4 linked regions of the Medicago truncatula genome follow. The protein of the gene in region 4 binds, or shares a complex with, the protein of the main gene of each other region. Links are inferred from orthologs where the notes say so. Each region holds a gene or a part of one and is shown on either strand. Other genes may lie near its edges.

The links.
Region 1: 50S ribosomal protein L6, chloroplastic (region 4) and 50S ribosomal protein L34, chloroplastic share a complex: the UniProt entries of both Arabidopsis thaliana proteins name them as parts of the 50S ribosomal subunit. The link is inferred for Medicago truncatula from reciprocal best matches to the Arabidopsis thaliana genes emb2394 and AT1G29070.
Region 2: 50S ribosomal protein L6, chloroplastic (region 4) and 50S ribosomal protein L13, chloroplastic share a complex: the UniProt entries of both Arabidopsis thaliana proteins name them as parts of the 50S ribosomal subunit. The link is inferred for Medicago truncatula from reciprocal best matches to the Arabidopsis thaliana genes emb2394 and emb1473.
Region 3: 50S ribosomal protein L6, chloroplastic (region 4) and 50S ribosomal protein L29, chloroplastic share a complex: the UniProt entries of both Arabidopsis thaliana proteins name them as parts of the 50S ribosomal subunit. The link is inferred for Medicago truncatula from reciprocal best matches to the Arabidopsis thaliana genes emb2394 and AT5G65220.

The regions. Positions count from the first base shown.
Region 1 is NC_053043.1:4,727,840-4,734,916, forward strand, and holds 50S ribosomal protein L34, chloroplastic, read left to right. Parts: upstream 1-4,371; 5' UTR 4,372-4,409; coding exon 4,410-4,593; intron 4,594-5,743; coding exon 5,744-5,994; 3' UTR 5,995-6,274; downstream 6,275-7,077. UniProt on the Arabidopsis thaliana protein: This protein binds directly to 23S ribosomal RNA.
Region 2 is NC_053049.1:23,131,551-23,139,022, forward strand, and holds the start of 50S ribosomal protein L13, chloroplastic, read left to right. Parts: upstream 1-4,207; 5' UTR 4,208-4,318; coding exon 4,319-4,567; intron 4,568-5,082; coding exon 5,083-5,268; intron 5,269-6,559; coding exon 6,560-6,730; intron 6,731-7,472.
Region 3 is NC_053049.1:41,913,912-41,922,160, reverse strand, and holds the start of 50S ribosomal protein L29, chloroplastic, read left to right. Parts: upstream 1-5,056; 5' UTR 5,057-5,153; coding exon 5,154-5,477; intron 5,478-8,026; coding exon 8,027-8,209; 3' UTR 8,210-8,249.
Region 4 is NC_053047.1:21,810,589-21,818,330, reverse strand, and holds the start of 50S ribosomal protein L6, chloroplastic, read right to left. Parts: upstream 3,416-7,742; 5' UTR 3,286-3,415; coding exon 3,251-3,285; intron 2,031-3,250; coding exon 1,722-2,030; intron 1-1,721. UniProt on the Arabidopsis thaliana protein: This protein binds directly to 23S ribosomal RNA and is located at the aminoacyl-tRNA binding site of the peptidyltransferase center.

The sequences.
Region 1 (7,077 bases), on a different chromosome or scaffold from region 4:
AAACGGTTACAAGGTTCTCCATATGTTCGATTTAGAGCATCCGTAATAGCAGTAACAAAACAAGAAGCTGAAAATCCGTTAGTCTTCCGGTCATGTGTGCCATTTAACATAAGAACCTTCATTTTTTCAATCAAATTAGTGAAAAACAGAAAATTGAGCGAAAAACTAGATAACTTCAAATGTTTGAGATTTCTAAATATAACCCACCATTACTCAACCAATATAACATATAATCCAGTGTGAAGCTCATGCATAGTAGCGCTCATCAAGTATTTTACATTTATGCAAGAAAGCATTAATCACTCTCTAGTTAATAACAACATGCCTGGCATATCATGAAACATGGGTTTAACATGTTGGAAAATAAATGCACGAGGCTTAGTTATGGAACCACTCCCAGCCATTAAATGGATTGAATTTGAGGTTCAAGTTTAACAATTAAGATGACGAGAAATACCCTAAGGCAGGACCGTGAAGGAATAATCACCCCAATCCCCAACCATACGTAGAAAAGTTTGCAAGTCAGTAAGCATCTAATGGGAGATCAAAAGTGTCATAAAGAGTGAAAGCTAGACGTCCTAATCCAGCAAAGTTACATATTAATCTAGTAAAAGTTGCCTAAGAATACTGGGAAAGTTCAAGTATCAAGTATTTCATATTCAGACACAAGATCTCGATACATTCACAATATTCAAGGCAAATAATGCTGTCAGGTAATTAAAGCCCAACGAATGAATGTGAGAGTCTTAGCAATGAGGGTCAGATTGAAGTAAAAAGGGAGCCCATGCCATACACAATGCAATCTATTCAAAGAAGAGAAAAAGAAGTTTCCGTTATAAATTGAGCATGATTAGGAACACAATACCAAATTCAAAGTTAGATTTCGTCTAGTAAGATAATATTTTCATAATAGATAAAGGTAAAATAGCACCCACCAAAGGAGAGGGAAGCACGTGAAAGAGCTAAAACCATAAGGGCTGAATCTGAAGTACGAATCAAGGTCGAGCGTGTTGCAAAAAGAGATGTTGACGAGGCCAAAGAGGGTTGCAGGCTGCAGCTACTGTAAGTTTGGACCAATAGAAGAATGAAAATAATCTTGAATCCTTCTTTGGCATCGGTGCAAGACCCAACAGTTCTCCAAGGCTTCTTAGGGCTAACTCTATGGCGAGACACTAATGTTAGGCACTGGGAACATCATCTTCAACAGGAAGTGTCGTTTCTACATTTTGTAAAATAAAGAGACAAAGGAAGTATATTTCATGATATTAACCTTTTGTTTTTTTTAATAAGTTTGTATTGAAATAAAATTTTGTTGTTACCTTTCTGACTTGTTTTTTTTTTGTTGGCTTGTATTGTTGTTGTTCATGTGATTCATTTGATGTTTTGAACACACAAAAATCTCACTTAGGCTTTTCTTCTCAACTATAATTTCTCCCACTGTCAATGGAACCATCATGTTAAATCCTCAGAACTATGAAGGAAATTGACTTTCAAAGCTTGAGAGCTTGAAAATGAGAATTCTCAAAAGAAATTATGTTGAAAAGATGCTCAAAAGAAAAACAATGATTTTATTTAGGAAAATGATATTTGGTGCATATTTGGAACTTAACCAACTATCAAAGTAACTAGTATCCTAAAGTACTAACATAATTTTATTCTCTTTAACTATCACTATTCATAACACAACCTCAACATAATTTCATTCTTTTACTTATCACTATTTTTAACAGATGCTCAACATCTTGGCTATAAATTATTTAAGGCTAAAGTGTGTTATTCGTCTCTTTAAATATGACTTGTTTGAGTTTTGGTATCTACAAAAAAATAAAAAACGTTCCAGCAAATTTTTTTGTTTTTTAAAATAGTATCTAGGCCCATTTTCTTGCCGATTTTGCCCATTGCTACTTATTTGGCAGATGCTGACTATGTAAAGTTGACCACGTGTCATCCAGGTGGTAATTATCATTTTAATAAATCATAAAATTGATTTAGAAATTAAAAAACATTTAAAAATCCTTTTAATAAAAATAAATTGATTTTCTAAATTAGAAAAAGAAAGATAATTTTTTCTGCACATAAATATCATAACCCAATCTTCATCCCAAAATTTCAATTCTTAATCCTCAATCTCAAAATCACATCTAAAAAAATAATCTTACACACACAAACAAATCAGACTCATCCCAAGTTCAAAGAACAAGCAACATTGCAACACGAAACAATTGTCAACATTGCAAATGAATCTCAACACTTCATTAACCAAAAAACCTAATCAATCATCAACATTTCGGTGTTGTATATATGTGTGTTTTTTTTTCTTCTTTCTATCAAATATGATTAAAAATTAGTATTTTAATATTTTTGTGTTTTATATAATGTAGCGGTAAAACTCACCGACACTGTTCTGTGAGTTTAACTTAGTTAATAAGCACATTGCATAAATATGTAAGGGTCAGCGTTCAAATCCCGCATACCCCCACTTCTCCGCATTTAAAATATGTAAGGGTCACTACACTAGTTGATAAAAAAAAAAAAACTTACACAGTCCTCGTGAGCTTAACTCAGTCGTAAAAACAATTTATAATATATGCAAGGTTCGAACCCTGGACACCGCAAAAAAAAAAAAAAAAAAAAAAAAAAAACTCAAACTCGTACTCTAGGTGTGGCTTTATTGTAAATTTGAATTCACCACTCAAACATATCAAATGTTTTTGCAACTTTTTTTTTCTATAAAACTTCTTAATTATAATTAAGGGATAGAGCTTCAATTAAATGAAACTTAATATTGAAAATATAACTTTTAAAACTTTTAAAGTATTAAATGCACAATTTCCAAAAAAATATATACTCCCTCCGTCCCTAATTAAAAGACCCTTTTGAGAATTTTTTTGTCCCTTTTTATAAGGCCCCTTTGTTATTTCCAACTACATTAATTATTTCTTTACATACATGCCTCTATTTATTATACATTTTTTTCTTCAATCAACAATAAATAACATGTTGAAAACATAAACTAACCTTCTTTCTTAAAGATAAAATTGTAAAAACAATAGTGATTACAAACAACTTTAATACAAATATCCAGTATCTTAATTCCCATGATTTTAGCAAAAGGGTCTTATATATAGAGACGGAGGGAGTATATATTTGGTTTCTATCATCCCCCTTTTTTTTTTTCTTTGTCCACAATTTAGCTGTGACGAATAACATTATTCAATTAATAGCTGCCTTTTGATTTAGTGGTGACATGTTATTAGACACAAATGTGTAAAGTGGACTGAGTTTAATTAGATTAGAGACAAAAGGGGTCGGTTTATTCTAGATAGATTGGTCATTCCTTTTTATTTTTTCGTTTCTATTTTCAATTGAGATTGGAAACTTAGAGATACAAATAATCACAATAAATCCTTGTTGATGGTTTCAACTACTCGAAGGAGACATGAAACAAAAGGGATTGGTTTGTGATAGGGTTCTAATTTCCTGTTGACTATATATAGGGGGACATATAACCAAATATCACAGTGATCAAAATACCATGACTATAGATCAGAAAGTTGACGACTAAATAATTAATTGAACTTGTGATTGAAGTTAATATTTCAATAGGAAACAAATGAATATTGTTTCATGACAAAAAAATTAAATAATATTGCAAGACGGCGAACAACACAACGTAGCACTCAGACTACGAAAAAATTAGATCAATTTAAAAAATCACTTATTTTAAAAAATAAAGAGAAAAGAAAATGAAAAGATGTGATTTCATATTAAAAATTAACTCAAACCACCTTTCAAATAAAGAAAATGAAAGAGAAAAACATAGAAAAACAAAGAAAATTACGGGCTAATTGGAGAAGGAGAACCTACAGAAAGATATAACAACACACCAATACCTTCAAATTTTGTCTTAGTAAGTACATATTATTCAATCATTTATTGTCATATTTTATTTAATTTTAGTTTGTTTGAAGCAAATTTAATTTTTGAGTTAATTTTACATCTGGTGTTGCTATCCAACAAAAATCTCCGATATTTTTTCATTTTGACAAATTAAGGTAATTAATATTAAGTTAAAAAAATGAAAAAAGAAGGAAAAAGGTAGAAAAGTTCTTCCAAAAAACAAAATAAAAAAAATAAATAATAAGAAACGAAAAAGATGATGAGATGCAAGCCTTGCAAAGGGGTATAGCATAAAGAATATGAATGAAAAAAAAAAAAAAAAAAAACTGGAGATGCAGGGGATCGAACCCTGTACCTCTCGCATGCAAAGCGAGCGCTCTACCATTTGAGCTACATCCCCATCTGTAAAATAATCGTATTAAAATATAATTATTCTTGAAACACTTTCAACAGTACTCACTGGTTTAAAAGCCGAAAACACGTAGCAAAACTCACAAAAAAAGAGGATAATGGCTTCGTTATCATCTTCTGTGTCTCCTTTGATATCCATGAAATTCAGAGCACCCACTTTCACTGCTTCTTCAAAACCATCTTCAATCTCTCTCAATTCCTCCAAATTTCGTTCTCCATTGCTTCATTGCTCATTCACTTCTTCTCCTACTTCTCTCTCTTTCAACTCTTCTTCCATTTCAGGTACAAACTTAATTTCTTAATTTCTTTTGTAATAAACATACCTGTACTGTTAATTTTTCAATTCATGCCTCAAACATTGTTCAATTTTTTTGTTATTGGGTATGCAATTGGTAATTCTTCCAAAAAAAAATGTTTTATTGTTGGGTTTGATTGAACTTGACTATGGTGACTGTTTGGAATGGAAGTTTAATTTTTGGGTTTGAAATGAAATTTTATCTCTGAAGTTTATGCTTCTGCATTTGTAATGGAAAATGGGGTTGTGTTGTAAGTGGATAAGATGTCTTGTAAATGCTAGCCATATTGTTACATTCTTTTTGGATGAAATGCAATAAAAGACACCTCTAGAATTTTAAATGTAATCTAGTAATTTAATGCCCTTGCTTCGTGCTTCACCGCAACTAATTTTTGAATCCGAATTGAATAGAACTAGTTTTGAATGTAGTACTGGTATGTCTCAATTCATTTTTTAAGATGTTGAATGAGTAGAAAAATGATTTTAATTGGGGTGATGAAAATTGTCGCTCTACTCTCTCTAAGGATTGTGGTTTTCTAATACTACTTATTGATATTCATATTACTAATGTTAACATTGCTCTGGCTTTGGAGGAGTTGTTTGATACATTATCATAGGACATTTATTTTTTTGTTGTCTGGTTTTTATTAGAATGATGTTTGTTGCAATTCCATGCTCATCTTGATCTCAGCATGACTTAAAGTTAGGAATTTGGCAAGTCGTTATTAGAGAAAAGATACTCTGCTGTTTACCTGTGTCAGATGGAAATACTTCAAAGACATCCTTTGTAAAGATTTGAAACTTGAGCAATACCTCAAGATAGAAATACCTCGTTAGATTGAATTTTAACCGTCAAGGGTTCCATGTAAATATCAAAGTGTGTTTGGTGAATGGCACAACAGCGACACATGTTACAGCCAAATTTTTTATTTTCTCAAATTATGATCGGTGTCAACGGGTCCGTGTCAGTGCTTTGTTGGAAATTGTATGTGAAAAATAGAGAATACAAAAGAGGTTGTAGTTCTTTTGCAATAATGGATGCTTTGCTTTCAATTGTTTGGTGAATTTGTTCAATCTGCATGTATATAGTTAAAAAATTTGTTTGGATTTAGCTTGTTTTGATTTCTCCATGTCCAGGTTTGTCACTAGGATTGGATTTGAAACCTAATGTTGGACCTAGAAGACAAAATGGTCGTCTGGTTATAGTAGCAGCAGGCAGACAAGCTCTTTGTTTAACCAAGAGAAGTAGATCACGAAAATCATTGGCACGCACTCATGGATTCCGCAAACGAATGAGCACAACAACTGGAAGAGCTGTATTAAAGCGACGACGTGCCAAGGGACGAAAAGTCCTTTGCACCAAGAGCCACCCAAATAGTGGCAAATAGTCACACAAGAGCCTAAAAGTATTATATTTGTGTATTTAGCTCCTTAAACTTGGCCGCATTTCAAGGTTTTTCTTTCTTCTTATTTTCATAACAATGGTTTTATGTACTCCTTTATATTTAAAACTTGTATTATTTTAGGCAAAATCTTTGTTCCAGTATGCTGCAAAAAATATGCAAGAGACTTGATGGAATGACCAACAAAATCAGTTTTGCATGTATAACAATATCTCTTATGTGATTTTTGTTAAATTAAAATGACCGTACGTTATTTAGTTGATTATGTTTTGGTGCAGATATTTATTTATGCACTTGTTTGTTGCAATTGATCTTTCACCAACAGAAGTTTTGTTCAACTTTTTTTACATTAGTGTGTGTTTTAGGCAACAAATTTTATTCCAGTAATTCGATTTATTATTATTAGTTCGTGTATGTTTCATTTATTGTCAAATTGTTAGAGTTACACCTTGTTTTAAATTATATATCATATAAAAACCAGCTTTGTCTTAGCTTTCAAGTTTCAACAAATAATACCAGCTTTACTCATAATACCATAGTCATGATAACTTCTATAGAATGCCTTAAATGGCAATCATGATTGCTATTTGATGAGGTCATGGTAGTAATTGTTGCCACTAAACTTGAAGATGTCCTAAAGAAGTCTATTTTGTACTAAAACCTCAGTTAGTTCTAGTATATAATGGTTGGATAAAATGAACAAGGTATTTGTCTAAAGCTTTCAACTTTGTTCAGATTTTTTATTTTATAGAAAATATCCCACGATGTGCTATCACTCTTCATTGAATCAAATGAATAGATTTAAAAATAATGGAATTTTTTTATCTTTTTATTTTACTGAATCACATGAATTTTTAGTTAAATTTTACCTAACTACGTCTATGAAATAACTATTAAGAAAACAGGAAATTTAATACCTAAATTGGAATTTGCAACAAAAACAAACAAATAGAATCCAACTTATAATATAAATCAAAACAAATCGATAAATTTCACTTAGACTTTGGAGTATTTTTAAGAATCTCAAAACAAAAAAATGAATTCTATTTATACAATTAGTATAGTATG
Region 2 (7,472 bases), on a different chromosome or scaffold from region 4:
TTCTCAATCAAGTCTCAATAGTTCAAACATATATAATCATAATAACTAGTCAAATTCTATCAGTAACGCCTTAAGAGATTTAACACGTAGTACTTTTAATAAACATAATTTCATACTAGTTAATACAAATGTGCACTCACACATCTACCACACCATAATTAACCTTTAAATCATAGTTTCACAAGGATCAAATATTAAACAATCTTAACAGCATTTAATTCATGGCAGCCTTCAGGTTCTGGATCATATTGATGTGATCTTAATCAATTATATCTCAAATGGCTAAACTATATGTGGTAAGCACTATATGAATAGTTGAGAATTACAATATTATCATTCATTTCACAATATATTACACTCATGAGTGAAACACTCGCTTACCCCTTACATATAATCTCCCCTCGTTGGCCTATGATACACATAAGAGCAAACACAACACAAAATCAATACTAATTCATGGTTTAAGGGTAATCGATAAGGGTAATCAAAATATTCATTCATCTCAAGTTAATCACATCAATCTGAATCTGATAAGGGAAATCAAGAACATTCTATAAGCTCAAATTATCCACAACAATCCGAATCTGACAAGGGTATTCATTCCTCTTAAATTAACCACATTAATCTTCATCACATTTTCTCATATACAGATTTAAATTAACCACATCAATCTTCATCACATATTCTCATATACAAATTTTTTACTCATCACAAAACACATGCATCACATCATATATACATCACTAGATACGTACAACTCATGTCTATTCAAGAACAAGAATTTCGCAATAAAAAAAAATAGCAATTAGCCAATTATGATCACAATACCTACTCAACAATACCTATTCAACAATAACATCAATGAGTACACATTCCGACATAAAGTAAGTCAAGCAACACCTTAATAAAATTTCTAATTCCTCTTTTAACCTTACTTCCATATTTGCACATTAATTTATTCATCTCTCAAAGGCTACAACCGTCGCAGCGAGCCTCGAATCAGTGGATGATTTCAAGTTGGAAGCCAAAGTTTTGTAAAAGAGTATTGTGGCTTGAGGAAAGAGAAATCGAGGAAAGAGAGAGGGGGCAAGGGTTTGTAAAAGAGTTTCCATTCTGCAACCATTTGGAAGAGAAGACCCGTTCTATTTTTATTTCTTCATTTAATAGCAAGGGGTGCAAATAGACATTCAGACTGAAATTGGTGTGTGGATAGAAATCCAGTTAAGTGAAATTAATGTGTTTTCACATACTGGGCTGTGAATGGTCCCAAAGAAGGAAGACAGATTAGCCCAATCAAGTATCAGAATGCAGCAAATAAAGGGAGGTGTATAAAGTAGTCAGTTTTAAATTAATCTATCTATCAATTCCGATTCTAAAAATATCAATAACTTGTTCCACTCTCCTATAACTAAAATCTTGATCTCTAAAACACTCATACTAAATTACTATGACCTTTCAAAATGCTTAAAATAATAAAATATCAACATTTTATATTACTCCATAAACAAAATAAATATGTATGACTATCACATCATAACAAATACACATAGGAAAAATCATCATAATATTGCTAAATAATTAGGATATCACTATGTATACAATTCGTATTACTAAATGTCATGATAATTATTAGCGCATCCACACAAAAACAATCAAAATAAATAAATAGATAATAACTAGTAATTACAAGATGAAACTATATATAAAAACACATGGATATATGATAATATAATATATAGAAAAATTGGGGTGTTACATCTTGGACATTGGGTACATAATTCCTCCCGTTGCAAAATCTTTTGAGGCCTATTGAATCTTCATTCTTCATCTTCTCAAGACCCAATAATCTTTAGAGGTCTTGATTTGCCTGGTTTGCTTGATTTCTTCGTGAATTACTTCAAGAACCCTATAAAATTGCTATGTTTTAGGAAGAATCAAATTACAGACTCAAATATAAAAAATATTACAAATGTCCCGAAATCATAGACAATTGTTTTAATACTCCTCTGGTTTGCTGGTAAAACCTATTAAAATAGACTGAAAAACATGCTAATTATAACGTAAGATGATCTGTCATCACCTGTCCGTGATGAATTTTACTTGCGGATATTTGATGTGTAAAATCCGCAAGTGCACCGTTTTACTGAAGTAGTAAAAAGAGTATCGTTCTGATAGGGAGTTATGAATTCAATTAACTTTTAACAATGATTAGAAGAAAGTTTGAGATTAAAAAGTTTGGATTTTTAACGGTTGAAAATAATATTAATAAAAAGTGCCTCGGGATTATTGGTTCGTCATGGCGAAAAATCCTTCACAAATCAAACGCTAAACCTAGAATTTTATGTTGGACCTACTTTCTAAAGACAAGTTTCTCTTTAGCCTATCACATCTCCTCTCGATTTCAGTAAGTGTGTTCCTCTTGCAACCACGTCTATTCTCATGATTGATTGCTATTGGAATCCTTGAAGAAGAAAACTTTTTTGTCTCAAGGTTTGCTAGACCATTCTCATGTTTCACAATCCTTGTCTAATTTCACTTGTTACAATATCATAACTTCTTATTACGATGTTTCGCTTTGATATTTGTGATGATGAATTAACAAGTACCAACCCTTCGTTGTCGCATTATGAGTTTGATACTTGTTAATTCATTATAAAAATGGTGAAATTAGATTAGAAAGTAGTTTTACATAAAATTAGGGTTCAATGCTTAGTTTGATTAGGATTAGGTCATTAGATTCATCCAACAATCCCAAGACAAGAAGTCTACTCACTCACGTTCATTGTCGACATAGAGAAGAAGAAGAAGAAGACCATAAAATAAAATAAAGAAAATAAAGATGAATTTTTATTTAAAGAAACAATTGTCACTTATTATTTCCAAGAACTAAAGATGATTATACAAGCTTGATGTCTGCTCTATTTATAGTCTAACAATGACTTAAGCCCTAAGAAATAAATCACTAAAGTGTTGCACAAGAAATGACAAGCTTTAGGTCAAAAATAAACTAATAGGCAGCTTGTCCGGGAAGCCAAAAGAAGCAAAAGGTGACTCTGGGTGCTGGCACGACTGTGTGGCTGGTGACACGGGCCGTGCTAAGCTTCTGAATTGGGGGCTTTTTATTTTTGCACCAAATCTTCATATTTTTAGTCCGAATCAGCTCCGAATCTTCTTTCTTTTGCTCTAAGACTCAATCTTTAGAATATTCGTTCATGAAATTAAATAACTTGCAATTGAAGTAAAATAGTTCTAAAAAAGAAAATAAAAACAAATAAAATTTAAATAAAATAGACTCAAATAATATATTAAAAACGATAATTTATTGAATCATCAATATCATGCATACCAAAGTTTGGTAATCCTTAACTATATGTCTAACTTGGGAATGCAGATAAATACACTAGTATCTAATTAATATTGTCATATTTGTCCCTCCTTATTTTCTACTTATCTTCCAATTTTAAGGAGAAGTAGGGCCAAACACAATTTGTAAAGAAGAAAACCACATAGAAACTGATGACAGTCGGCCATTCACTATTTTTAGAGTCTTTTTTATGATATTTTTGAGTTCACAAGCAAAGATTAAACAACAAGAAAAGCTAGAAAAACTGAAGAAAAACAAGAAAAACTGAAGAAAAGCAAGAAAAATAAGAAAAACTGAACAAAAGCAAGAAAAGCAATAAAACCGAAATGTTGATTTTACGAATTATGGGATCAAAATGAAAATTGATAATTACTTAAGAGACCAAAAATCTAATTAAGCCTAAAAAAAAAGTTTGTCTAATATTTTCAGTTTTTTAGTATTATAAAATTTATGCTTTACTATAATTTTTTTAAAACAACTATGAATTGTAAATGTCCATCTTAAGACTATTTTTGAGAGGTCTCTATTAAACAACCCTAAAAAGTTTTACTAATTAAGTTGGACAAATAACAAATGCCAAACAAATTTAACTTTAACTTAAAAGTTTTAATTTTCAACTTTATTATTAAAGTAGCTTTTAGACCTCAAAAAAATAGAGCCAAACACACCCTTACTTATCGTTATATTAATTTTACAAATATTTATATACTATCATATCAATCCATACATAAAAAGAATTAATGTCATATTTGATAGACTATTTTAACGTAAGAGACTTATTTGACTAACAAATCGTACAATTATACACTATTTTAAAATTTTGATACATTTATAATATAGGCTTATCTATCGCACACTCTCTGGCTGGCTCTACATTATCCCCAGTAAAGATAGAGCACAGAACACAACACAAAGCATCGTGAGAGAATTTATCATCATTCATCAACAGCAACAATGTCCTTGCTGTGTGGTTCACCATCAGTGACGTTCCCTTCATCTTCTTCATTCTCTCATCACAAGAATTCAACTTCTAAATCTTCCTTTCTTTCTTCTCAATTACCACTTTCAAACCTTTCATTATCATCTTCTTCAATTCGTTCTCCATCTTTCATTGTCCATTCTCAGCAGGAAACTTCCATTGTCGCAGAAGAAGAAGATCCTCGTTTCATCTGTGTTGAACCTGAGCCCCGCTTTCAAGGCCCGGTATAACTTCTCTCTCTCTCTTTTTTGTTAATGGGTTTTGTTCATTTTACACACTAAGTGTTGTTGTGTATGATTTTGTTAAAATTTTCTTGTATTAATTTCTGGGTCTCTGTAATCTAGCATATGGAATAGAAAAGCCTCAATTTTTATTGTCAAATTTTAGTGTTTGTCTCAATCCATCATTTTATGGTAATTAAGCCTTATTATCTTCTTTCTGGTTTGTAATTAGCACTTTAGCAGTATTCATTTCTCGTAATTGAAGTAAATTAACATGTAAATCCATCTTAATTTACTTCAATTATGCCTACATTTCGTATCTCATTAGTTTAATTAGCTTGGAAATGTATAGGTTATTACTTCATCCAATTTTTTGGCATGATTGAAAGTTGGAATTGCTTTAAATCTTTACGTCGGTATCCATGTCTTGTATTATTTTTAAAGCTTTTAACTTGGTAGATGCTTTTTTCGAATTAATGTATTTGAAGCGGCTTAACTGAAAAGAGTAATGATTGCAGGACATTTGGAACACAACCTGGTATCCAAAAGCTTCGGATCATGTCAATACAGAGAAAACGTGGTATATTGTTGATGCTACAGATAAAATTCTTGGAAGACTAGCATCAACAATTGCTAATCACATCCGAGGGAAAAATTTAGTGACTTATACACCCAGTGTGGACATGGGTTCATTTGTAATTGTGGTACGTATTTCTGCATTCATTATTTGCAATTGGCATGGAAGTGCTGATTTTTATGGTTTACTACTTCTACGGAATAAGCTTATTTGTTATATAAGTCAAGTTTTAGTTGAACATCTTTCTTGTTAATTTTCTTTTGGTTTTAAAATGGATGGAACTTATGCAATATATGATGGACTGTTTTCTAAGTAGAAGGAGTCAAGTTGAATCATAGGTTAATGGAGTTTCTTGCATTTTAGCCTTAACTTTTTGTGTTAAGTCACCATGAAATGGCGTAGAGGCTCAGTGTCATTTCCCTTCAAATTGTTATCATCATTCTGATAAAAACTGGTATTTTATTTGGAAAAAAGATGGAGATAAGCCCTATTTGGGAAGTTCGAGCACTGTAAAACATACATCAAGGGAATGCGTCTCCTTATACCCAAAGGCCTCAGCACTTATTCAAAATTTCAAATGTCAGGATATCTCAGCCACTTGACCCGTCTTCTTATTTATAACTACAGTTGGAAAAAAAAAGCCTTATTTCTCTAATTATTTCAGTCTTTTTCCTTGTAATATACCTTCTGTTCTACAGTTGTTAACTCCCTTCCCTGTTTTTATAGCTACTCCTCTATTATCCTTTTGGAGAGTTACTGTTATTGAAGAGTCCTTGTAATTCTAATATCTACTTACCGCTCTTCCTCTTCCTAAATACTGTACTCTTAACGAGTGGTTTGCTAACACACATTTAACCCTTTGCTATAATAATGTCACATTGACAAAGAAATTTGGATCACATTTCACATTTTTGTATATTGATTCTCACGCAACATAGTCTGTAGTTAATGTATTGCTTTAATGCATGTCCTGAAAAGTCTTGATGAAGCTGCTATTAATCTTGTTATGTCTGAATGTTTGTCATGTTTTTTCGATCATAATGGGAAGCTGCAAGACATGTTCTTTTTGTTATGTATATCTATTGTTAATGACTTCTCCGCTTTCTACATTCTATAGATTGTAAGGAAGTTTATTTATCATGCATTTGGTTTTAAATTTTAATTATAGGCATGTATGACTAATGATTTGACGACAGATTCCAATTTTCCACAAAAATAAAACTACAATATCAATAGAGGAAACAAAATCTCCTATAAAATGGTTGTATTGTTTATAAAACTTGCTTTTCACATTAATGACTATGTTTATGAGGCTCACCCTTCTCATGAAGTTTTATGCAAGGAGTATTGTCAATAATGTTCTGTTTCACGATTGCTTTATGTAGTCTTGGCCTATTATTTTAACTGGGGTTGTGTAGATAAATGCAGAAAAGGTTGCTGTCAGTGGGAAAAAGAGGACCCAGAAGCTTTATCGGCGGCACTCAGGTCGACCTGGTGGTATGACAGTCGAGACATTTGACCAGCTGCAGAACAGAATTCCTGAAAGAATTATTGAACATGCTGTTCGTGGCATGCTTCCAAAAGGGAGGGTAAGTTCAATAAAGTTCAATGTTTTTCCAAGAGACTTGTACAGTAGACATGTTAAGATGGATCATTGATGCATAGAGAAGTTGAATATAAATCTAAACTATGTGTTTAATTTTTATGACAAAAACATATCACACGTACTAGATTCGTTTCCATAACTGATGGAAGAATATAGAAGTGAAGAATGAAAGGAAATCTTACAGTCTATGCATGCCTGAGAGCACACGTTTTTGGTTTGAAAGGGATCCCTTAGAGAGTACACCTTTTGGTTTGAAAGGGATGCCTGAAAGTAGACTTTGTCTTCACCGGTGTTCCCTTCCTTTCCACTACCAAGCTTGAATCTAGTGGGTTGAATAGTGGTGGTGGGTTGTTCGACCTTCTTAAGACCCATCCATTCACCTTGTTGTCGGCTCCAAACCTTTCGACGTCAACCTTTCTATTTCGATGCCCTCCGTCACATAATGAATAACGGTGCTACTATTTTCGTCCACGACCCAATTATCACAACTTTGAATTTGAAGGTATGAGACGGAACCATATTCCTTCCTCGATAGTTACCTTGCATCTACCACCACCTGATGGTTTCAGACTTTCGGTGGCGGTCAGACTAACATGCAAGAATCCATTTTTTGCATCTTTATTGTGAACCATCTTCTCCGCTGTGCCGATTCATGTCCGGTGGTTCTTCTATTGCATTCAGGTTGGTATTCTTCACTCTTTTTCTTGCTTGTTGTTAACCTCCCA
Region 3 (8,249 bases), on a different chromosome or scaffold from region 4:
GATGTATATGTTACATGTTACTTCAATAGAAGTTAGAGATAATTTGTCTCATAAGTCCTAACTCAATTCGTAAAAATGTCAAAATTGTTAGGTTGGACGTCATGATCGGGGTTTGAACTTACTAAAAATGTCTCATACCTCCACTTTGTGTGTGTGAGTTTATGATGGTTTTGTCATCTCTTCTATCTGCCAAAAAAAAAGTTAGAGATAATTGTGAATGAGTCTTCTAACGCTAACTTATTGCAGTGAAAACATCGTATCATGCATCCACAAAGCCTCGAGTGATGACGAATCTCTTCCTCCGGACCTCTGACACTCTCCACTTTAGTAATTTCACTATTCATGTTATGGTCTTAATTACACCTTGTAAAAGATAAGAGTGGTTTGAAAATAATTTTGATGTACGTTTTTAAATTTTAAAAGGGACAATTTGTCAAAAACAAAATTAATGGGACAAAATTATAGTTCGATATTCTGCCCCATTTATTTAGTGGTAGCAAGTGCGACATGAGACTTTTGAAACGTATTTTGAGTGGATGTGAAAAGGAGTGGCTCAAGTTGAGTTCTCCGATTAAACCAAACAATTGATGAGGCCAAAAAATTAATGGAAGCTTTAGATAGAAAACGAGAGAGGTTCGTAGCAATCGGTCTAAATCAAAGAAGATTGTGAAAAAATGACATTTGTTACTCCCTTGTGGGCTGTGGCTTTGCCATCATAATTAATGGATATTTTCATTCAAAACAGTTGGAAACATGCACTTAAATTGTAAAATTGACACTCACACACTGTCTCAAAATAATTGATTTTTTTTCAAATAAAAATTGTTTAAAAATAACTCACATCTTCAATTTTCCATTAAAATTCTTGTTAATTCCTAACATGCCTAACCTCGACTAGCACAAAAGTCCACATAGACCAACGCTAGACTAATACATTAACGTCAAAATTTCAACTAACTAATTCCTTAAAAAAAAAATTCAACTAACTACCAACTTTCATTAACATAATTTATTACAGCACTTAAACACCTCTATGATGTCTCTGTGTATGATTCAACATATGTTGGGTCACAAACTAACGAAGATACTTTAAAATTAAATTAAAAGAGATTTAAAAATAAATAGAAATGATATTTGAACAACTAAATTGTACAACCAACAATTTATTTGCTATGTTTAATAATATTTTATCTGATTTCGATTTCTATACTCCTTGCTAGAGCTGTCAAAACGGGCGGCCCGGCCCTAAACGGGCCAACCCTAGCGGGCTTCGGGCTTTAGCGGACCGGGCCAAAAAGCCCGATTGATAAAACGGGCTTGAAATATACTACCCGAGCCCGGCCCTACACGGGCCGGCCCGTATTAAAAATTATATTTTTTTTATTTTAAAAAATATTATAAAACACTACTATAATTTTTTTATAAATAATATTTTTAATATGTTTAAATAATGTCTAGCACAAAAGTAAATTGTAAACATTTTCGTACAAACATCGTAAACTAAAACGACGAGAAAAATGATTTTAAATAAATTAGATATGTTATGGTTATAGATATTTATATATTCGATCTTTAAAACTATAAATAACGAAATGAATAAATATAATTTTATATTACATTTATATTTGTGTTAATTCATTGAATTTTCACTTTTGTTTTATACTTTGATAATCAACTAAGTAAATAATTATTTGAAATATATATATAATTTATAGAATTTTTTTTTGTTATGCGGGCTAACGGGCTACCCCCGGCCCATTCGGGCTAGCCCTAACGGGTACCGGGCTTTTAAGGGCCGGGCTAAAAAGCCCTATTAAAATTCGGGCTCAATATTTTAGGCCGAAGCCCTATATTTATTCGGGCTAAACGGGCTCGCCCGTTTTGACAGCTCTACTCCTTGCAAAGTTAATGGTTGTCCAATTTTAAATGTACAAATAACATAGCTCAAAAATAAAGAGGATGTCGAGAGTGTTTCTCAAGGATATTAGTTAAGCAATTTAAATAAAGATAAATTTTTATTAAAAAAAATGACATAACTATTACTTGAACAAATAGGACAACTTATATTTGAAAAAAAAATTCTATTAATGAATTTCTTTATAAATATTCATGAGACAGTGGTTAGGAAGACCTTGAAAATAAAATTAAATGAAACAAAAAAAAACATTGTCTTAGAAATAACTTAAAATGGATATTGTTTTAAAAACATTTAACGAACCAGATGTCCGGAGAAACAAAAAAAAAACACGCGAACGAATTCCAACTACAAAGGGATTTTCCATTCAGCTTCATGTACAAGCCATAACTTGAGTTCCTCACATAATAGTTTGGGGAGCTGTTTCAGCATTGATTGAAACTCATTCATTGTTAAGTCCCAAAGTGATCCTCCCAAAACGAGACCGCATGGTCGTGGCATGAGAGCAAATGACCCACGAGAATGATAGCCAAAGCAGCCCATAACAAGGAAGAATGAGAAGCAGGAAAACAACCAGATGGGTCAGTGGCACATAAGAACGGGTACCGAGGCAAACAACTAATGGGATAAAACCGCAAGTGCACAGTTCTATCGAAGTAGTAAAAATAAAGTATCGTTCCGACATAGAGTTATGAATTCAATTAACTTTAAATAATGATTAGATGAGAGTTTGAGATTAAAGTTTGAATTTTTAATTAAAAGGAAAGAATAAAAATAAAAAAAAGTCTTGGGATTATTGGTTCATCATAATAACGAATCCTTCACAAACCAAAACCTTAAACCTAGAACTTTATGTTAGACCTAACTTCTAAAGAGTGCCCTCAAATGACAACAATTGTCCCTAAAAGGATCATGGTCGTCCTTCCAAAACAGCTGACCAGGCAGAGGTACAAAGGCTTAAACATTAATCTTCTATTATAAATATTGGATTTTAAACTTGTGATCGTATGTTCGCTATTCACAAAATACACCTTGAAGTAAGACCTTTTTTTTTTAAATTAAATCATGTACTTAAAAAGTAATTCTTAAGTTGAAACTTGAAAATGTTAAGTTAAAAAGAGACTTCAGAAAGTTCTAAAGTGTTACTGTAAAAACAATATATTAAATGTAAATGATTGTGTGTGTGTGTGTGTTGTGTTTACCGTAAGTAAATGGTATAGGAAAGAGAAGAAAGACACGCATAATTTACATTGGTTCATCTAATGGGGGCTAATTCACTCCTCACAATCTTCTGAGATTTTCACTATGATGCTTGAGATAACTTTTTAACTCCTGCATCGTACAACCTTGTTCCCTTGGAACAATTACAACATGTATTCTCTAAGCCTCATCATGCTTACGACTTTCTTTGCTAAGTCATGCAAGACTTTACAACTTTATACTCAGCCTACACTTTAATACTCTTAGAGCTAGATGAGATTTTTCTCTTACAAATGATTTGGAAGTTTGAATGGAGTTGAACAATAGGAAGAAGAAGAGAGGAATAATATCATCTTTAAGAAGATAAGATAAGATTGATTCATACTCTCTGAGATTTTAGGAATCTTTATAGTTGATTTGTGAAATCAATTTTGCTATGAAGCTTTAAACACTTTTTTTTTTTGTAGATAGACGAAATGACAAAGCCATTATAAACTCACACACACAAGTGGAGGTATCGGGGTTCGAACCCCGGTCATGGCATCCGACCTAACAATTTCGTCATTTTGCCAGTTGAGCTAGGACTTATGGATAACTTTAAACACTTTGATTAAGTTGTTTAAGTATGTTTGAAAGTTGTGTGCTTCAATGCAGAGTCTTCTTATCTTTTTACAGAGTTTCTTGACCTCTTGTAGTTGTTAGGGCGTGTGCAATGGTCTTGTGCCACATATCCTCGGACTTAGCAACTATTGCTTGAAGTCTTGATCAACATTATGAACTTCAAAATATTTTTGGGTTCATCATAATACTTAAAAACGTTGTTGTGTTCTTCGGAATATTGTTGTGTTCATCAGGATATTGTTCCTAAGTTCATAAGGATGAATGTCATATGTGTTTTTGGGTTCATCCTATGAATGTCAGATGAATTTAAGGGATTTTCCATGAGTATCGTTCTTCATACATAATTCAAAATAATGTTGAACAAAAGCCTTTGCAAATCTGCCTTAGAACTTGTGCAGGAGAGAGGAAAGTGGAATTGTCACTTCATGCCCATGCTTTAGGGGATTTTCTGATCCTTGTGCAGTACCAAACCCCATGCATGTCTAATTCTCATTGAGTCGCACTTGAGTTTGCTTTTTGTTTTTGCTTTTACTTTTTACCAATTGTACTTGTCCGTCAGATTGAAAGTATGTGCTGGAAATGAACTTTCTGATGTTCATTTGTTTCACTTAGGATGATTTGTAAGACTCTCATTTGATGTAATCAAATTCTAATAGTGAAACATCAATGAAGTGCAGGTATGTGAAACATCAACGAAGTCCACTTAAGTTGCTCTGGTGGTGTTGGTTTGGGTTCTTGGAGTGTGTTTCTCCGCAATGTCTCATGTTTGATTCTCTTCATTGTCAATTTGAGTGGGCTAGTTTAACTTCTTTAAAAAAAAATATACACTGCTTTCGTTCCCCGAAAAAGAAGGCCGAGAGTGACGGAGAAGAAACCAACAATTGAGGAAGTACCATACTCAAAGGTCATTAAACACCATCAACCTGACTTAAATTTCTAATACTCGCTATATTTTTTTTAGTGAAATACATGTGGATTCCAACAATTCATATAACTCATTCCATAAGATTAAATCTACGTATATTCCTCTAAAAAAGAAAGTGAATGTTGGATATCTATAAAAAGCGTTGTTATATCTAAAAAAACGTCTATAACATATTATTATTTAAGTAACTTTGGTTATACATAAATACTTTGAATTCGTAAATGTTTTCAATCCAATATTTCTGTTAACCAAACATTAAAAAAAAAAAATGTTTTCAATCCAGTATCTAAAAAAACTTTTTTTTTATACAAACCAATTCTCTGAATCTAATTTATAAAGAAAGAAAAAATGAATAAAAAATAAAATAAAATAAAAGAGGAGTTGTGCTCATAAAGGATGAAGTAAGATAGGGTGTGGATCTTATCTGCAACTACAACACATACTGCACACAGTTGCTGTTCATCAGATAAAACATACGAGCGCGGAAACACAATGTTGAACCTCTCCGTTGCTTCACCATCTTCTTCTTCAACACTTTCTTTTCTTCCAAAACCATTACATTTCAAATCCTCCTTCAATGGCATTCGTCTACGTCAACCAAACACGTGCACAATCCCAGCGACGAAACGCACCGCTTCGGTCTCAGTTGTGATGATGGCAAAGAGAGAAGAAGAATTGAAGCAAATTAGAACTAAAACCACCGAACAAATCAATGAAGAGGTTGTTGAACTTAAGGGAGAGTTGTTCATGCTTCGTCTTCAGAAATCTGCTCGTAATGAGTTTAAGTCCAGTGATTTTCGTAGCATGCGTAAGACGGTATATTTTCTTACTCTTTAGATTATTTATTCAATTTTATAGAAATTTTAATATACTTTGTTCACATTTGCTTAATTAAATTTTTAGGATAGAGTTGCTTTTGATTATAAGCCAATCTAAATACATTAATAGTGTTAGGTAAATGGGAGTTTTTGAAATTAGGAATAAACGGGGTGCCAGTAGGAAAAATCTATTGAAATTTGTCATTTTAACTTCAATTGAATATTATCAATGTGTTGGAATTGTCATTGTTTTATGGTTATGTTAGAGAAACAACTAGCTTCTTATTGCCTGGATCAGTGCAAGAGATTTATGTTTAGGGCGTCAATAACCAAATACACAAAGCCAAAGACTCACTAGTCACTAAGGTGGGGAATAGTGAAATTATCAAGCCTATGACTTACATATTACACACAATAATCAAAATTGTTAAGGGGACAATGAAATATTGCTCCGTTAGAATGGAAATGGAGTGAAAGGAAAGGAAAGAAGCCTATGTCTACATCCCATTTGCATTATTTTTGGTGCCCATTATACCAAACTTAGGGTAAAATTTGAAGGCATCAGGATTTTTATCTCGTGCAACAATGAAACAAACATTGAAAGGAAAGGCCAAGGGCTTCAACTTCGTTAACTTCGTTGTAGTTCGAGCAACGTAGCTCGTGTAATTATCATAGTTGTCACTCATGTATTGCGGCACAGAGCAATTGGTCCCGAAAACACCGTACCTGAAATATGGAGAGTCCCGAAAATACCATACCTGAAAAAGTGGAGTGGTGTGGTGGCCGTTGTAAGATGGCTTGGAGGAGAAGTCATTCTCCTTGTTTCTGTTCAATTTCAATCAACCAATATGATGGCTTGTGGACTCTTGTTTCTTAGATTCACACAGATTAAATCCATCGCCGGATAGAGTTTAGATCTTTGAGGAGAGAGAGCCCACTTAGTACCATTTGTTAACAAGTGCTAATAGCTAACATAGCTTGGGGTATTCATATCTAGTATAATCTAATCCGATGTAAACGGAAATAACTGAACTGAAAACCGGAAACCAAAGAACCCCTAAACAGAGGACAATAAAACTGCCAAAGAAGAAAGAAAAGTGTAAAGGTCAAGTTTTGGACATGATGCACTGCAGTCTAGCATACTTAACCTTTCTTCATAAACTAGCCTACAATATCTTTTACTTTAGTTGTTTGGACATGATGTAACGTGACTATGCTCACATAACGAATGTCTTTGCAAGTTGCAGCCTATTCTTACACTCAGTTGTATTATAATTTTGATTCAATTAAGCTGCAGCAGATTAATATCTCTGCCTTTATTCTTTGTTTCAGTCCTCTTCATTACATTGCTTTTTTAACAATCAAAATCACGATTTACTCAAAAAAACCTTATTTTATCATGTCTATTTTCACTCCACAATAAAATTCAATTGCTGTGGCCCTTTTTATTTTCATATACGTTATTAACCTTTTCCACTCATGCAACTTATATTCTGTATCAGAACTGAAATTTAAATTGGTAGAAGTAGATTTGACTTTCGAGATCATCGAAAAATCCAAAAGAAAACTCTAACCCAGATATCAGGAGACAAGTGTAAGGATATACCGAAACTGAAAAAAATATCTTAGAAAAGCATCTCTGCCCTTTGTTATTAATCACCCCTCAAATGCTCAAGTTATTTGCTATTCCTCCACACATCTATCCTTCCCACATTAATGTTCGTCTCCATTGGTTCCTGCATCTCCCATTGCCCTCTCCTATTGCCACATGCTCTGTTTGTTAGGATCCAGCATAATAGATTAATCTCCTTCAGTAGTGACAGACGAAGTTCACAGTCCTATTTCAGTTTGCTTTACTATCCGCGCTCCTTTTCCACTTTCGGCAACGTGGGAGGCTCATGACGGGCCCATCATCATTTTATCAGAGTTCATGTCCCACCAAGAAAAATTGAATCGAGGAGAATGGGCACTAAGGATTCAGTAGGCAAAGAAGCAGTGCATTAGCTAGGATTTAGAATGTTTAGATTCCATGGTAAAGGCAAGATATGCACACCATAGAAAAAGGGGAGAGAACAATATTCCCCGGGGCACTCTTTAAGGATCCCAAATTTAGTAATTATTCTTTTAAAAAAGTCAACCATTACAATTTCCAATGCATTGAATACACAACTTTTCATAAACTTACTATTTAAACTTAACATTTTCCTTTATTTTTTGGTTTTAATATTGGCTTAATAGCAGTTTCAGCCCCCTAAGAAAAAAAACTACAAAACCGCCCCCTAAGTTTTGCATCTGTGGCAGTTTTGGCCCCCAAGGCCAATTTTGACTCGGTCTACGCTGACGTGGCACCCTAAGTTAGGGGGCGGTTTTGTAGTTTTTTTTCTTAGGGGGCCAAAATCGTAAATTTGTGAAAGTTAGGGGGCGAAAACTGCTATTAAGCCTTTTAATATTACCCTAATAATAATAACTTCAGATGATCCTATAAAAGCTTTGCCAACAAGCGGTATCCTTCTTTTGGATGAATAATTACTGTTATTATTGATGTAGATTGCTCGCTTGCTTACTGTAAAGCGGGAAAGAGAGATTGAGGAGGGTATTGGTAAGAGGTTGTCCAGAAAGCTTGATAAAAAATGGAAGAAAAGCATTGTTGTAAAACCACCTCCATCTTTAGTGAAGCTACGCGAGGAGGAAGCAGCTGCAGAAGCCGCTGAAGCTGAAAAGGCTGCATGAGCTGATGTATTAAATATGCAAGTTATAGAGTTACATTGTT
Region 4 (7,742 bases):
AAAAACGTTTATTTGCACAACACACAAAGTTAAATATGAAAACATAGACAAATATAAGACATAAACTAGTATTTATATTTACATGAAGCAATATTGTGATGCAGTGCTTAACCAAGGTGAAATTATTGATTCTACCCATACATACAAAAATATAGACCTAGTCTTCAAATATCCTCCATCCAAACATACCAGGACAGAACATAGTTACAAGGATAGAGCTATCAAGGGAGCAACTATTAGGTAGGTTGGGAAGAGAGAGTGTCATCATTCACGGGATTAGCTCTTAGGATTGCTGGGGTCATCTTCTCTAATTGTTCATGTTTATGGAATCAACAATATTGTTTTCTGTTTCTATTGAATCTGGTTCCTGTCAAATTCAATGGAACCTACCAATACAATTAGTTACTTCCATTTCTTTCTCCTTCTGAAAAACTTCAAAATAACTACTTGTAGAAAAGGCTAGGAAAATAACACGTGCAGCAAGAATTCCAATAAGAAGAATTCGCTAGAATCCCAAGCATTAAATACTTGGCATTCCAGAGACAGCATTTTGTTTCAATCAATATCAAATCTGGAAAACATAGGTAGCCAAAGTGGTATCTATAATCCTAATCAAATACAAATTCTAATGAGATGCTTTTATTTTAGTATAAGAAAGCTCATACCAAAATAGATTTTTAGCCTCTCTTGAGTTATATAGTATGGCAATAGTGTATGTGTCATGTATTTTAAAGTTACTTTAATGTACGTTAGTATACAAGTGTAGCTCCATTGGAGTTGTTTCTATGTTTGATTAACCATTTTTTAAGCTGCGATTCTCTTTGCTCACACCTCAATGGTCAATAGGCCGATGATGTTCATCGTCTAAATTTTTTAACACAATTCTTTTAGTCTTCCGGATCACAAATTAAAATTGAGAGTTGATATTTGGACTTTACTGCAAGCCTATGTAATGGTACTCGGTTGATAATTACAAATTTGGGTAGATATATTCTTGAAAGAAAGGTAATATCAGGAAGCAACATTGGGGAGAAAGTCTATATGCCTAGAATGTTAAAAATTGTACGGTGATTGCATAAATACGGCTACTAATGTAGTTGCATAAGTAGTTGATAAATTGCATTTTAATATTATTTTTTCCAATGTATATGACCCGTGCGGCAACACGGGTGGAAGTCTAGTAAAAGATAGAGTCAACATCTAAACTTCCCTCAATAACAATTATCATAAAAACCCATAAATTATCATAATTTAAAATAACTTAACAAGGTCATCCATTCTGCATCACTTCTTCCAGTGTTAAGTATACAACTGTTGTCAAAATACTAACTACAACATATATCTTGAATGTTTTCATTGTCACGACTCGAAAAGGCAACACCAATGAATGAATCAAATGTTATAAATTTACAACTATCGTTATGCTATGATTATTGGCAAGGATTTTGATTCTCTGCAGTCAGAGAAATCCTGCATTCATGCTCTCAAGTTAAAATTAGCCGTTTGAGCCTAAGTCGGATTGAACTTTTTCAATGTTTTCACTCTGAACCCAAACCACAGCGTAGTGACTGAAAACCCACTATTCATCTCCGACATGTACTCAAACGATTTGTTTGACTGCCTGACTGATATTTTTTACAGCAGAGAATGTGAATCCTCATTGGCAACATCTATTTTTCTACATCATGAAACAATTAAAAAAGTTAAGTAAAATGAAGTACCTGAAAAGCCCGTGCATTTGATTCGCCCTTCTAGTTTCAACTGCCTTACTGACCTTTAAAACCCCTTCTTCTTGCCTCTCAACCTTAACTTCTCGAGGATAAGTTAATGAAAGTTCTCCCAAAGGACCTTTCGCATGGAAATATTGCCCTTCCATTTTGATGGTTACATTGGATGGAACGGGAATTGGTTGTTTCCCAATACGTGATTCCTTACATTCGGTAGTCTTTCTAAAGAACCCAACATGAGTAGCAGGAGCACTTGAAATTCTGATCCTACTTCTCTCGCCAACAAAAGATGACTTAAAATTGCTGAAATAGGAAAGCAAATGATTAGTGAGAGACTGCTTGAATTTATAAAATATTTACTTTGAAACTAACAATTTTTCAAGTAACTAAGAAATTATAAAAGAATGATTAAGAAAACCAAAATTCATGAGTGACTAAAACAGATACAGGGCCTGGTAAACTAGATCTTATCCTTCAATTAGAAGCCACTTTCCAGTTCGTAGTGATTTAGGTCAACATTAAAAAATGCAATTTTGATAAATGATGTTCAATATCCTACTATAACATAATAAAAGCCTCACATGAAGATCTTTGTGCAAAGGAAACCAATAAAGCAAACAAAACAACAATTTCCCAAAACAATTGTTCTTTTCTTTGATATAGCATGTTTGGTATCACATTGAACTTAACGAAATCACAGCCGCAACATGATTTTGTTGAAGTTCCAAAATGTAGCTTTTGCCAAAATCACGACAATAATTTTATCCAGAATTACCTGTTTTACTACTAAGAAAGCCATGAAACACAGACTCAGACACGGACATCGATAATAATTTAAGAAAATGAAATAATTCAACGTAATAATGTGTCGGTGTCGTGTTGGTGTCGGACACAATACGTATCCAACACCGGGACACGTCTAATCCGATTAGTATTTGTGCTTCATAGCAAGAAAGTACACTCGATGAAATTATCTTTTCTGTAAGCTAACAATCACCTCACTAACTATGTGAAAAACAAATACAAAGTAATTTATTCCTGAAATACAAAATTATACTACTAACAAGCATTTCATCAAACATCTTAAATGCAACATCCATTTAATTGAATTTCGTCAAACATTTACAACACTATCATCCTCAACTACATCATCATGATTCATTACAACCAAATTTAACATACACGACAAATAATTATAACCCTTTTGACCCAATTGAGAATTGAAGAAAGAATACAGAAAAATAAAACCACATTCACAAATTGAAACAGTTATAAAGTTAAAAAATATTGGGTTTTCTCAAAGTTTAAAACTTTAAGTGTTTTAAGAAAAAGGGTACTTTTTATTTCATTGCATTCAATAATTAAACACCATATAACAATTATTGAACAAAAACTTGAAATGAAACTTATTTATATGATTAAAATGGTTCAAATTGAAGAGAATGAAGAATGAGATTTGAACAAGTAGAGTAAAGAAGAGAAAGAGAAAGAGAAATAGTGAAATTAAGGGTGTTTGTTTGAACCTTAGTTGAAACGAAGAGGTAACTGAAGAAGCCATTGTTACAAGCCACAAGGCTTTGCTTTTTGCGAATGTTTGCAAAAATGTTCCTTATCCTGTTATCTACTTCGGTTATACTGTGTGTGTGTGTGTGTATGATGGTGGTAAAACGGTAACTACTGTTTGTTGGATTTTTATTGGTTGGTTACACTGTCGGATTTTGATACTTCTGTATTTTTTTATGAGTTATGATTCATAGACATAGGTTGCAATACATCCCTCGACATCCACACAAAAATCTGACATGTGGTCACATGGACCCCGCACAAGCACATTTTCTCTTTCCTCTTCTCTCTTCCTAGAATATAAGGTGTATAAAGGTATTTTCTCTTTCCTCTCCTCTTCTCTCTTCCTAGAATATAAGGTGTACAAAGGTGTATGGAAATAAAGGGTGTCTATGTAACATTTTCCTTTTTTTATTTTGGGTGAAAACAAAACTTTGAACCGAACTGAACCAAAAAAAACCTAATCGTTAATAACAATCAAAAACTGAAATGATTTGGTTCAGTTAGTGTGATTCGGTTCGGTTTAATGGATCAGATCAATTTAACTATTTGGATCGATTATGGTTTTTTAAAAGTTTTAATATTCGATTATTTTTTTTTCAATTGTATTAATGATTCTCAAAATAAATTTGGTTTAATTTGGAAGTTAAAAAAAATATTGTTTTTTTATTTTTTTAAATAAAAAATATTTTAAAAAATAAATAAAAAATAAAAATTACATACGGTGGCGTCCACGTCAGCATTGACTTGGATAAAATTGGACTGGGATCAAAACTGCAAAAGGGACAGTACTTGGAGAGTTAGATTATATTTTATTTTGTTAAGGGGCCAAAACAGAAAGATCAAAGGAAAATCTTCCGGTTAGAGACTCAAGTCTTGAATCCCGGGAAAAAATCCCCGCAAATGAAGTACGTCGCCTATAAAACTATGGCAGTTTAAATCTACTTGGATAAGTTGGCAATTCGCTAAGAGAAAAAGAGGTTTCGTCTGACACTCTAAAAACCTCACTTTGCTAATCTAGCAGAATCCTATCGGAAGAAAAATGTGATAGAACCGTTTATATTCAAATAACAACATCTTTGTATTATGTTTTGACACTAACAAGACTAATAATAAAGGAACACTTTGTCATATACCTATGTCTATGATCATGCATGATATTATAAGAGAAATTAAAGACGTGCAACTATCTTTAAGGTAATGACAAATGGTCATCAAGCACAAGACAAGTTGATTAAGATTTTAAGAAATCAAGCAACTATTTTGGTTAACATATTATTACCAAAACTCATTATATGTGCAGAGCACTCCAAGACATCGATGGGTCCTAATGATCATCTGCATGGTCCACTTCGTTCATGCATACATCATTAATTGATCAATTATTGAAGATCATGTGGCCATATTTTATTTGACTCGGAAGCTATTAAGATCTTCAAAGTACAAAGAAATGATTCTTTCAGAGCTTTTCACAGAGATATCATGTCAAGGACAAAGAGATACAATAGATACTTGGACTTTAGAATATGTATCCATATAACATATATATCTCTTGTCTTATAAATTGAAAATAATCATGTTGAAAGATGTTCTTGTTGTTGTTATCGAAGTTGCTATTGCAATCATCGTTTGTGTGTTAAAGCACCATATCCTTCAATGTTAACTTGATGGCAAGAAATCACAAAGCGTTTTTAGTCTATTCTTGGAGTCATTTTAGTTAAATTAGGTAGTTTGAATGAATTTAGTCAATTTTGGTAAAGGATTCGATAAAATGTCATGAAATCATAACAACAGAAAAATAACCTTGAAACCATGAAACTCCACTCGAACTAGGGCTGGAAATGAGTCGAGTCGAACCGAATCTGTTTGAGCTCGGCTCGACTCGATAAGAATTGGTTCGGCTCAAAACTCGGTTCGAGTTCGACACGAACTATTTTTTCAGCTCGAGTTCGGCTCGTTTAAAGTTCACGAACAGTTCGGTTCGGCTCATTAGGTTCAGTTCGGTTGCTCAACTAGTCCAAAAAAAATTATAAAAAAAAAAAATTAATTTATAGATCTTTGATATTTTATATATATATATATATATATATATATATATATATATATATATATATAAAATATTGAATTCAAATAAAAGTTCCCACAAACATGCATATAATAGACATAAATTATATAAAGTTAAAGATTGCATAAATACGAAGAAAAATATCTGATACAAGTAACAGAGACAAAAAAATCCAACAAAATTTAATTAGTTGTGAACAAAATTCATAATATTCTTTTACTTTTAAACTCCAACTGCTCTTCCCTTCAAGACAAAATTGTATTCAGCCACATTTGCCACATTTGAATTAAAAAATTTTAAAAACTAACTCAAATTGATTTATATATATAATCAATAATCGAGCCATCTCATGAACCTAACGAGTCGAATTATATGTAGCTCAAGTTCAGCTCATTTAATTAACGAACTTAATTTTCAGCTCAAGTCCAGCTCGTTAGGTTCATGAACCAAGTTCAAAGGATTAGATATCGAGTCGAATGTCGAACTATAATCGAGTTGGTTCGGTTCATTGCCAGCCCTAACTCGAACTAGACAACTCTCAGATTTATAAAGCTATAGCTCCGTGCTTTTTTCAAACAAATTGTTTTTATTCAAAATCTTTGAAAACAAGACTTGATTACTTTTGTTTTTAATGTTATAGTTCCCTGAAACCAAGAGGTTATTGGAATGGAACAAGTTTGTTTGATATGATTTTGTCCCTATGCATCGAGAGATTAAGGGATCAAGATAAACTACTTTGCATGAGTACTAGAACTTGGAAAAGGCTTTAAACGTCAAGATCTAACTAGGACTCTTGTCATAAGCCAAAGGCTCAGTAGAATAATACTTTAGTGGAAAATGTTGATGACCTAACCTAGCAACGATGCATGTTAAGATTATGTGATTATAATATGATCGGTAGTCTTCAGGGACTTAACATGATGGTTGAGTTTACTACACCCCTAGTAGCCACTAGGTTGCCAGAAATTCGTAGAAATCTGTAGCTCTATAGATCTATGTAAAGCTTGTAACACTCATATTTCTATTAAAGCAATTAAACATGAGAATAATACAATTACAAGAAATAGAGGCTACGTCATCATTCAAAAATTCAAAACCAATAAACATGTATATAAATCTCAACAATCGCAACGGAATATAAACCAGAGTACATCAAATATACGTGTCATGAATCAATTATTACATCAACATGGATGAATCTCAAATCCCAACATACGGGTAAATCTCCAATCATATCAATAATCCAAAACAAAAGACCTAGACTAAGACAAGTCTATATTGTAACACCCCGTTTTCCCAATATACAAATTTCATAAACATTTATCAGAGTAAAAACCACAAACGGGATATCACATAGAAACGTAATCCAAAAACAGTTAAATAATAATTTAACCTTCACAATATCTTTAACATAGCAGCGGAATATTAAATTCAAAAATCATAAATCAGTTTGGCACGTAGGCCCCATCAAAATAGTTCATATTCCATAACTTAATAAAAATAACATATTATCCACGTAAGAGAATGAACCATGTTATAGCATATAACCCCATCCCGTTACGTATCAGAGCGACCTAGACGACACAGTGAAGGCAAGGCCACTCACGACGGCAACTGCACACTAAGCACGATCACCTGCAAGTTACCCATACGAAGGGCAACATTTTCAAGCAGAAGGGGTGAGATTTCATAATACAATAACATTAATCAATGTAATTGAGAATCATAAATTAACATCATATTCATTCTATTTCTAACTTTGCATAATTGCTAAACAGTTATCACTTAATCATATATCCAATCATTAGGAATAACATAACATAATCAATAAACACATATCACGTAATCACATAATCAATCATCATCAACAAGGCATCTTAATCATGACAATGTGACAATGCTCTTAGACTTCTTATATGCATGTGGTACCAATCGTCATCATATCATCAAAACATATCAAAATCATGCATATATTATATAATTATAATATAATTGCCTAAACTCGATTAAATAACGATTAAACGAAAGTGGGCGTTACAACTCTCCCCCACTTAAAAGATTTTCGTCCTCGAAAATTTACCTCAAGTAAACAACTCTGGATACGACTCCAGCATCTTACTCTCAAGCTCCCACGTCAAGCTTTCACCAGTCGCTCCCGACCAAACGACTCTCACGAGAGGTATCTCTTTGCCCCTCAACGTCTTCACTTTACGATCATCAATCCTTAACGGTAAAGTTTCTACCGTAAGGTTGTCTCTAACTTGCACATCGTCACTCTGAATTACATGAGATGGATCCGGAACATACTTCCGAAGTTGCGACACATGGAAAACATTGTGCAAATTCGAAAGATGCGGCGGTAAACCCACTCGGTAAGCCACCGTTCC